Linked DNA regions of Saccharomyces cerevisiae S288C. Changing the gene in region 3 together with the main gene of any one other region gives a genetic interaction. Each region holds a gene or a part of one and is shown on either strand. Other genes may lie near its edges. The genes, in order: MNR2, PAU13 and YMR090W.

Region 1 (5,393 bases), on a different chromosome or scaffold from region 3:
AGAAAAGTTCAATAATGAAGTCGCAAAGCAACAAGAAGTAAAGAATTTGGAGAACGATTTGAAACCACAAATTGATTCAGAAAAGCAAAAACAAATAAACAAGGACAAAAAAGAACAAAAACAGCAACTCCAGAAAGAGAAACAAGATCTCGCCAAGGAAAATTTGGCTAACAATGAAATCCTTGATAATTAACCAATTCAAAACTTCCAACAGTTTGGTGATGAAAATAATAAATGTTTTACGTTAACCTTATTGATTAACCTCACCTCCCTTATTCTTTGTATAGTATAAGTGCATACTAACATACTGTGTACGTACATAAAGATATGCAGAACGTTCACAAACATGTAGAAACCAGACACGAAAAAAAAAAAAAAAAAAAACATAAATAGATTAAAGATATTTATCACCACAAGTATACGATACGGCGCTGATAATTTACAATTCTATCCTTCGGGAAAGACAACAATAATTTAGGCTGATAATTAAAATCGAAGGAAAAGCAAGCGCTAATGCGCGAAAAAACACTTAAATTAAAACCCGAATCTTCTCTTAGTATACATATATGCAGAACATGCTAGCATACACATAAAAAGCACAATGCCTATAAACCATGTCAACGAATCCCTGTATTGTCCGGGCACGATAACATTCATACCCCACAGACCCGTAATCACATTCATTGGCAGAACAATAGTACCCAGTATGGTAATTTTTCCCAAAACGTCGTTCATGTCATTATTAACCTTCGTCATATCAATGTTGATTTGTGCCAGATAATTTGAATGCGATCTACTTAACAGTTTTTCATAATGGTTTAGCGATGAGACCATGGTTACAATATGATCTTGAATATCACCCAAATACATTGCGATTTCAGATTGTGGCGAAGCTTCCCATTGCTCATTATACCTTTTGGCAAATCCTTTTATCACATCAGCCTTGGATCCTAGCAATCTTAGTATACTCATCACTCTTTTACGGCATTCACCAATCCGCCTCAACATATCTCCTTTTCTCTTCCAACCTATCAAATTTGCATTGAATGACGCTTCAGAAGTGCTCATACTTCTTGAACTCACACTAGATTTTGCACTAGAGTAGGACGTCTTTTTAGAATAGACATCGAACGGAAATGCATCCTCATCGCTAGCGCCCGAATCGGAATCACTATCGCTAGAATCGCTATCACTAGAATCATCTGACTGATGCATCTTCAAAATGGCGTCCTCAATCTCATAAACTTCATCTTCGATAAGTTCTATCATAGGGGCAAATGCGTCTGTAATGTCATCGATTAAGGCATACGCAATCCAATCAGAGGTAACATTAAGGTAATCCTTTAGTAGTCTTGCTCTTCTTCGAACATTAATAGGATGTGGTGTGGGAGCAAAATGAAACGTCAATACACCAGTTCTGAAAACAATAATGTAAACATTCAATGGCTCTAATTCTCCCTCACGTGGTTTGTGCCTGTCTCCTGATTTTCTTTTGAATTTTTCGTTCTCTTCCATCTTTTTCTTTTCGCTTTTGACACGGCGTTTATAGCTTGATGATGATGTATTGGTTGTTCTATTTGCAGATGACCGACGGCGTGCACGTAAAATCGATGGAAGCCATTTGCTCCTACTTGCATTGCTTGTACTGTTATTGTTATTTGCATTTGATTCATTTGACATAGTAGCACCATAGGCTTGTGATTTACGACGTGAAATACTTTCATGATCCAAGGTAGCAGATTCTTGCTTTTCTTTTCTCCTCCGACGAACATGCTTTTCTGCTACAATATCGAAACTTCTAAAACAAATCAGGTAATAATCTCTAAATAGTTCCACTTTCTCACGAACTTCTCCCAAAAAAATATCTTCTGTAGTTAAAGGGTGAATTCCGAAAGCTTTACTTAATATTTTCATCTCCTCTTCAGTAGGATTGCTGACATCCAACCAGAATGGAGGAACATCCTCTATATTTGCCACAGACATAGACGATAAAGTGGAAGGGTTTTTAGCTGTCAATCCCTGGAGTTGAGATACAGTTTCTGCTTTTATACCAGGTGTTGGAGAATTTGGATGTGTCTTGATATGACCAGCGCTATTATCTTGGGAGTATATAGAAGCGACAAATAAATCTTGAAATTTTTGACCAGGTTGCAGTAAACCAGATATTGTCGGAGAATGAACAGTAGAGTCCAAATCCACCCTAAAATAAGTGAACCTGAAATGTTCTGGGTTATTAGAAATAATATGCGGAGGATATTGAATATTTCTGCCGACTAGTAAGTTATCTTGTAATCCGCTTTGAATTCTTGATTTTGAGTCCTTGGTTGAATTGGACCCAAGGACCATTGGACGTTGAATCAAATGCCATGGCGCAATTCTTTTTGGCCTTAAACGGCCGTTCTTCAAATTCTCTGTTTCGTTTACCCTTCTGTTTCCCAATTCAGGGACATCAATATTAGTTACGATTGGCTTTGAAAAAAGAATTCCATCTTCATTTGATGTTCCATCTTCCTCATCTTCATCGTATTGGAAGTGGAAAGCTTCAGCATCTTGAATAGCTTGACTTCTTAGTCTCTCTGTTTCTTCCTTGGAAAATTCTTCCAAAACAGTACAATCAGGCCAAGCTTTTGGCACTTCGCTACCCTCATCATCAAGCACTAAACAAACGTCATCCAAAGAAGAGTTATTTGAAGAAAGACTAGAAGATGGCCTTGAGTTATACTCATCCTCTTCATCGTTTGAATCACTGGATGTGGATTTGGAATTTTTGTTGCTACTATCATCAGAACCCCTCTTTTTCTTTCTTCTCTTGCTGTTATCATTAACCCCAGTACTTGCATTGTTGTTAACATGGTTCATTAACGCATCAACATCAATCACGACATCATTATTCGCGTTCGATTGTCTCCTATCGGTGGGGGAGTTTTCGTCAACAAAACTCTTATGAACAGATTTCCTTCTCTTCAGCCATGATTCAAGCTCTGAAGGGGATAAGTCCGATACTAATGATCTATTCTGATCAGAGGGTCTTAACCCTGCGGGTTTCTTGTAACTTGGTGTTGAAAACTTCATTATTGGCTGTGGTTGAACTGTGCTTGATACACTTTGAGGCCCCTCCCTAGGTTGGCTCATTGAAGGTCTATGATCAATGAACGCGCCCTTGAGCGATGGATCCTCACTTTTTATTATATCATTACTTGTAGAATCAGATTCATGCAGCATGCCCCAGGAATCGATCTGGTCGAAATCAGTAATCTGGCCGTGATTGTGTTGCAGATTATCATGCAGCAGTTGCGTTGGCCTACGTGAGTCTGACTTCAAGTGACCAACAAACTTGTCCTTTCTTCTTTTTTGATTGCGCTTCTTTTTCCTTAGTTGAGGGCTACTAGAGTAAGGGGAAAGCAAAGGAACACCTTCATCCTTTTGTGAGTTATCAGTGCTCATTTTTAATCTTTTTCTTCTCTACACTTCTCACTTTTATTCTCTCAATTTACTGTCGAAGTAAGGGGATAAACTCAGTGTAGCAATACGTACAACTTAGTCATCAAATGAAAAAATGCGGACTACCAAACCAGAAAATGATGAATAGTTATACAAGTATACGATAGTACAAAAATATATTTAAAGGGCCAGGTACTACTAACGACAACCTGGGCTAGGTTTCACATATCAAAAAGAAGTTATGGCTTATGTGCTCTTTCTAAGTTTGACTTTATGCCAAAAATTTCTCCGTAGATCGCCGCCCGTTGAAGCAGCAGAATATTTTAAGTGCGCCATAAAAACCTAGATAGAAAAGAAGGGAGAGAACATAAACGCAGAACACCACTACTTTTAAGGCGTACGCAAACTGTTGGGCTTATCTATATTGTACTATCTACCTACTTGCAACGTCTTTTACCTCCTCGATACGTACTGCTTATGCCCTGAACAATTTACATGTAACCCGCAGCTGCATGCTATATCACAGGATACGTTAACATAAAGGGGGCGCTACTAAACCCTCTGGCGCAGTGCAAAAATAGAAATATATGCCAAGTGGGACCTTGTATAGTTTCTGGTTTAAAGCTATTCGTTCATTGCAACGCTCCTTTCTGCTATCCTTTCGCAAAGTGGCAAGTACTGAAAACCGAGAAGAATAAATAATATTGCGATGAGTTTATACTTTACGACATTATTTTTATTGCTCACTGTTGAGATGGTAATGCTCTTCATCTTCGTTTTGCCTTTGCCATTCCGGATCCGTAGGGGTATTTTTAGCACCTATAACCAATTGACAGCGAAGCAGCAAATAAAAACTATAATCTTTATAACGGGTTGTCTTGTTGGCCTGTTGTTTATTGATTCATGGAAAAGGTCTCAAATTCGTGTTTCATTATACCACAACGACAACAGTGGCTCAATCGGGTCATCTGCTGTAACTCCAATACAGGCACTAGCATCAAGAGCGTACAATCAAAGAAATATGTATATTTCCGGGTTCATATTGTACTTTTCTATCTGTATCCCAACTGTCATGTCTATTGTCAAGAGACTGGTGAAATACCAAGGCTTAATCAACGAACAAGAAAAGCAAAAATTGAACAAACCTTCCTCAAACAGCAAGAAAGACTCAAATGAAGCTGATTCCACCAAACTTCAAGAGGAACTAAGGAAAAAGCAAATTTCTCTGGAGGGCCTACAAAAGCAAGTCAAAAACCTGGAGAAATATTTTGATGAGAAGAATCAACCTGGAAATGTAGCAGCTGCTGAAGCTTCCAAGAAAGGAAACTAAATAGATATATTTATGTATAAATGTATATACGTGTTACCTCTGGTGCTCATACTTCTCTGGTCGCGACGCAATACGAAAATGCTACTGAAATAAAAAGCAAGCGATTAGATCAAATGAATATATGCATTATATGTTACCAACTTTATTTTTTTTGAATATAGACGAAAAAACGTTAGAGAAAGACATAAAAAAAAAAGATTGAGCTTCGTGACTCGGTTTACCATTCTGTGTTATATACGAAAACCCTTATATAACAACTTTTTAAATTTTTTTCTCATTTTGGTATATCTTTTTAATTTCACTATGTTTGCTATCGTTCTTATAAAACAAATAAAGTAGAACTGGAATCATAACACCCACAGAACCGACCATTAGTCTAGATGTTTGTTTCTTAGGATTAGACCCTATCACAGGCTCAAAATCCTTTGAGGATACATATCTCCTACTTGTCCGTTGTAATAATTTCAAAATATTAGATCTCATCATTTAAAAATGTAAGCTTTTTTTTACTTGAGTTTTTGTTGTCAGAGTTAGGTCCAAAGTCCCTAGAATAGTGTACGCGATAAAACTCAGCTGCAAGTCTAATATATACATTCCGCCAGAAATTTCAATTTGGGATCCC
Region 2 (2,822 bases), on a different chromosome or scaffold from region 3:
CTTCTCATCTCCAGATCAGCATATATACTATTCATATTGGAATTCACAAGGTACGGGGTAGCCACCAACTTTTTAAAAACCTGATAGCAATAACTGCCATCGTAGAAAAAAGATCTATCTGCACATATACGACGGTCATATACAAATTGGTTCATGTCATATGCAATCCGGTCCCATGTGCTCAAGTCCATGTTAGGTTTATGTGTAATGACTTCCGCTAATAGTTTGAACTTACAATCATCATCTAAACATCTTAACTTATATCTTGAGCAGCTTAAGTAAGGTAAGAGGAGTAAAAGGAATAGTGAAATTGTAATTAGTAAAGCCGCTAAGATAATAATCAAAGTATTACCGTGTGCAGATAATGCCAGGCGGTTTAAGATTATGGTAATAATAATATGGATGAAAATATATGAAATGAATACGATATTCTGTTTTAAGAAATAAGCGCATTTGCTGGGGGTTATGTCCCTTGGAAGGATCACTGTCTCACCTTCGCATAATTTTCTTAATCCTTCTGGTCTTGGTTTAGAATTAGATATTAATAATTCTGAACTCATAGCCTTAGCGGGCCCTCACTTGCTTTTGAATTTGTCTTTATACCACAAGTTAACAATTACATTTTCTATATCCTTTTTATATTGTTATAATTCGGGACTTAAAAGCGGGAATATCTAGAACTGGGAGGATTGCATCATTTTTCTTGGCCCGTATGTTTTTCTTCGAGTTTTGGCCGCAAGACGAGTAAGAAGAGGACAGAAATAAGTATGTTGCATAACTTTTGTAGAATTTACCAGAAAAACTCCAATATAACTTACTTCATTATGACATATAAGCTAGATCTTGATTTCTTTCGTCAACATACTAAAGCACGCTATCGGAGACTTCTTCAAACCCTTTCTTATGAGAACACTTAGCTGACTGTACATTTAAGAAGCTTTAGAGATGAGCCGTCACCATGAATATAGCGATGGTTTTGTCTACAAGGAATACCAACTATTAATACCATTTCCTACAGAAAGTTTTTAATTGAATAAAATACATTAGCGCCATATATTGCCTTTTTCACTTTTCTTTATATCTAGCTAGAAGAAAAATACTGTGCCTCGAAGAATAAATTTTTCCCACCGCACAGAGTTGTAGTACTGCTACAAACTGAACTCAACATTTTTTTTTTACCATACGCGGCTCTTCCAATACTAGCTGCTTCTCAGCGGCCTACAATTACGTAATTGCGTCAATGAATTTCCTGAGAACGCTTAAAAACTACAAACTCTACAAATAAGCGACTCCCAATACACGTTTTCTATTTTTAATTAAACTATCAGGAGAGGGATAATATAGTATTACCTCTTCCATTGGAGGCTGTTTACAGCAAATTGAATATGGGCTTAAACATAAGAATCTGTACGAGGGTCCAAATCTAAAATTCGGATATTCTTTTTGACCGAAAACGGAAACTTCAAAGGCACGGAAAAGGGTTTTATAAGGCACTCTGGCACCCCTATAATAGGCATTCCCACATTCTGCGCATACGAATAGACAAAGGCCCCAGAAAACAATACCTTCGCATACGGAATCTATAAAGATGCATGCCTCGTTTAAAAACAATAACATCTTCATAGTGATAATCAAATTCTGTGAAAGATGAGATATGGAGAATATGCGAGGTACTAAATGAGCGTCTGTTAACGAATCGTTTAAGTAGTGATGACTGATGAAGGCATGGGTATAAATAGAGCTGCTTCAACTATATGCCTTTGAGAATATGTCTTTATTCCTTCCCTTCCTGTTAAGCTTATATCAGCACTAACAAACATAACAAACATAACAAATACAATGGTCAAACTAACTTCAATCGCCGCTGGTGTCGCTGCCATCGCTGCTACTGCTTCCGCAACCACCACTCTAGCTCAATCTGACGAAAGAGTCAACTTGGTTGAATTGGGTGTCTACGTCTCTGATATCAGAGCTCACTTGGCCCAATACTACATGTTCCAAGCCGCCCACCCAACTGAAACCTACCCGGTTGAAGTTGCTGAAGCCGTTTTCAACTACGGTGACTTCACCACCATGTTGACTGGTATTGCCCCAGACCAAGTGACCAGAATGATCACCGGTGTTCCATGGTACTCCAGCAGATTAAAGCCAGCCATCTCCAGTGCTCTATCCAAGGACGGTATCTACACTATCACAAACTAGAGACAAACGCCTTTACGAATGAAATTCCATAAAACTTAAAAAAACAAAAAAAAAAAAGCTTTTTTTTTTGATAGTATAAATAGTTGATTATATTAATGTATACCAGTATTATAAAACCTACTTGATTATTCATGCCGTTCTTATCAGAAGTATTTACTGTAGTGGTAAAATATAGTGCCTTGATAATCCAATAGTCTTGTCTGTCTAAAAGGCTTCAGTTGAATACCTTCTTTCGTACATGTTGCTATTTCAGGGTATCGGGCCGGAGCATTTACCATTTGCGGCGTAAATGCTAAAGTTAATAAATCTGAGTCTTCCTGTTTTATGAGTCAGATGGAGGTGTAACGCAAAGAGTAAGTTAATCACAGAAAAAGGTTAGTATCCATTACATATTTATGTTATAGAACATATATGCGTATAGAGACAGAAAAATTGTTTAATAATAAAATCACCCACGCTTGCGTAAGACGTCCTTGAAGTCTTAATTAGTCCAGCTATAGTTATTAGCTATACCAATTGAAGAACCAATCGGTCGAGCGTTTTATATATCAGTAGAAAGCAAGCCTCTTACGAACTTGAATTTGGTACTTCCATAACTACATAATCATTTAACCCTTGCT
Region 3 (3,231 bases):
CTTAGAAACCATGATGTATCCTGCTTCCGAGAATGGCATAAACCCTGCAAAAAACCAGGTGGAATTCTTTGAACACAGGCCACATGGTCACATGAGTAATTCTAATATTATTGCATCAGGTAGTAAGCTGAGCTCTACAAATTGGCTCTATCAGCATTCTGCTGCGTGTAGTAGATTTAATAGCGATTTGTTTTATGATAGAGTGAAGGTTCTTCTTGTAGATCAACAAGGCTTGAGAGATGCATACACAAATATATTACACATACCAGAATCCACACAGTCAACCACTGTTTTAGGATGGAGGAGATCAAAAAACGATAGTCCCAGCGACACAAGCATTGTGTATGAGACCGTTATACACGATAACGATTTGAATAAACCGAAAACGGGACTGTCGGAAATCCCGAAAGAGATCTATGAAGACGTTGTTGATGAAGACGTTTTAAGGGCTATCACCGAACAACAAAATTTCGAAAAATGCAACGAATATATTTAGTATACTCAATGTAACAATATAACAAATTTTTATCTTCAAATCAAGGTAAAAAAATTCATATATTCTCACTTTCTTTTTCTTTTCTTGACTATTCATCTACATATGCATTTCACGCGTAAATAGGTTGATCTACAAACTTTGAATGAATTTTTCCATTGGCTCGTTGCCATTTACCAACGAAATGGTTTTTTTCACTGTTGCATTTGGATGTAGCAAGCTTTCCACAATAAAAGAAGCTACATCCTCCCTGTTAATGGAGTAGTTAACAGAAGCCTTCTCTTCTAATTTGTCAAGGGGTTGCAAAAGACCGGTACCTTTATTTAGTTCCAACGATCCAGGCTGTAAAATAGTGTAATCCAAATTAGAGTTTCTAACCTCACGATCAGCAGATCTCTTTGCAATATAGTATTCACGCAAACCCTTAATGTTATACCAAAAATCTCTATCCTCCGCCTTGAGCGCTGAAACAACAACGAACCTTTTGATACCAGCCTTTTCGCATGCTTCAACAACTTTGATACAGCCATCCAGATCAACCGTGAAAATTCTTTCCATTCCTTTACCACCCGCACCGGCGCTAAAGACCACGGCATCATAAGCCTTAATAGCGTCTGTGATCTCACTAACGGACGCGTTTTCTATATCTGTCAAACTAGCATCAACACCTACTTCATTCTTGAAATAATTGACTTGATCCTGTGTTCTAACAATCGCTAATGGTGTTGAGAAACTATCGTTGGCCTTCAATTGGTTTATCAATAAACGTCCAACTTTACCACTGGCACCGACAACCGCAACTTTCATAGGAGACATGGCTGTTAAGTCAATAATATATGAATACCGATGATATAACTTCAATGAATTTTTATTTGGAGGGAAAGTATCCTATTATGAGCGTCACGATGGGACTTTAAATATATATCCCTACTTCGAGTGTACCCTTACGTAATACTTGCAGCCCCTTGCTGTTGACAGCGCGATACAATTTTCGTACTAAACAATCACAGAGGTAACAGCAAAGTTTGGAAAGTACTTTTGTTGGAAAGTTATTACGGCCACTAACATTGTCTCGTCGTATTATTAAAAGCTATAACGTCGTATTTCTTTGCTCGCTTGTGTTTTGTGATACAGGAAACACACACCAACAGGTTCACCGAGGGCTGTTGTCTGTCTTTGTACTTTAACTCAAAGAACTTCTGTTTCACGATTTGTATTAATAGTTCTTGCAGGCTACTAGGCTGAATACGTTAAAATGGTTAGCAACGAATATAACCAGAAATACTTCGGGTACAATTCTGATACGTATATTTGTAGATATGTCTCGCTTGATGTTGCCAACTTTGTCAAAAATGGTAACGTATGGGCACACGGAATGTGCTAATCCTCGACTTTGCTCTTTCGTAAACCAATTTGATGCAAGTGCAGCGTGGTCTTTTGAAAGTGCATTATCTCATTGGGCGATGCGAAAACTCTGCCTACAGAAGTTCGCCGTTAGATAATTCTGATTGTAGAAAACCTACCAAAGAGAATAAACTAAAGTGTCATCTGCTAATTTATGATCTTATCGTCTGAGTGATGATGTATGTTTCTCTTTGTACGGTTCGTCTTGTGCTCATGTACGTAACATCCTCCATATGTGTGAATTATTTTGTCCGGCGTCTTGTTTGAATATCCCATCCGGACGTATTTCTTTATAGGATAACGCATGCACATATCGGTTCGTTCAATAAGAAAGTCCCTTCTGGTATTATTCGGTGTCCTGTAAGATCTATATACTAATCACCAAGCTATCTGGTGTCACATTGTGAATACATTTGTCTTTTGGTCCATTTTTCCCCATCATTTTCTCGTGAAAACGATCTCTAACTTTTGCCACTATAGTTTTAAAGGAAAGATTTTGAGCTGCCAACGAATACAATATAGCACACTCAAGAGTCTTGGCAAGCAACTTTAAAGTTAGAAAGAGTACTAATGTTGCTACTTTCTTGGTCAAGAATTGCTACTAAGGTAGTTAGAAGGCCCGTTCGCTTCCGGTCCTATTACGGCTTGACCCATATCAAGAGTTTACATACTCAATATCGGCTACTCAATAGGCTGCAAGAGAATAAGAGCGGTAACAAGAACGAGGACAATAACGAAGACGCTAAACTTAACAAAGAAATTCCCACAGACGAAGAGGTTGAAGCAATAAGAAAACAAGTAGAAAAATATATCGAACAAACTAAAAATAATACTATACCGGCTAACTGGAAAGAACAGAAACGCAAAATTGATGAAAGTATTAGGCGTTTAGAAGATGCTGTATTGAAACAAGAATCTAACAGAATTCAAGAAGAAAGAAAGGAAAAAGAGGAGGAAAATGGTCCTTCAAAAGCCAAGTCAAACAGAACAAAAGAGCAGGGCTACTTTGAAGGTAACAATAGCAGAAATATTCCACCGCCACCACCACCTCCTCCCCCAAAACCACCTCTAAATGATCCTAGTAATCCTGTATCGAAAAATGTTAACTTATTCCAGATAGGACTAACTTTTTTCCTCCTTTCGTTTTTATTGGATCTCCTCAACAGTTTGGAAGAGCAAAGTGAGATAACGTGGCAGGATTTTAGAGAGAAACTATTGGCAAAAGGTTATGTTGCGAAGTTGATTGTTGTCAACAAGTCCATGGTGAAAGTGATGTTAAATGACAACGGAAAAAACCAAGCCGACAATTACGGTCGCAACTTCTATTATTTCAC

Evidence for each region.
Region 1: mutations in YMR090W (region 3) and MNR2 together harm fitness more than expected from each alone (negative genetic interaction), as found in Saccharomyces cerevisiae (one large-scale study listed by BioGRID).
Region 2: mutations in YMR090W (region 3) and PAU13 together harm fitness more than expected from each alone (negative genetic interaction), as found in Saccharomyces cerevisiae (one large-scale study listed by BioGRID).

Annotation. Positions count from the first base shown.
Region 1 is NC_001143.9:315,815-321,207, reverse strand, and holds MNR2 (putative Mg(2+) transporter MNR2), read right to left. Parts: upstream 3,445-5,393; coding exon 535-3,444; downstream 1-534. Other genes in the region: YKL063C (uncharacterized protein), read left to right, coding at 1-193; YET1 (Yet1p), read left to right, coding at 4,151-4,771; DPC7 (Dpc7p), read right to left, coding at 5,033-5,254.
Region 2 is NC_001140.6:11,303-14,124, reverse strand, and holds PAU13 (seripauperin PAU13), read left to right. Parts: upstream 1-1,839; coding exon 1,840-2,202; downstream 2,203-2,822. Other genes in the region: DFP4 (DUP240 family protein), read right to left, coding at 1-560; PXP3 (Pxp3p), read right to left, coding at 1,276-1,623.
Region 3 is NC_001145.3:447,323-450,553, reverse strand, and holds YMR090W (uncharacterized protein), read right to left. Parts: upstream 1,310-3,231; coding exon 626-1,309; downstream 1-625. Other genes in the region: NPL6 (Npl6p), read left to right, coding at 1-496; m-AAA protease subunit YTA12, read left to right, coding at 2,468-3,231.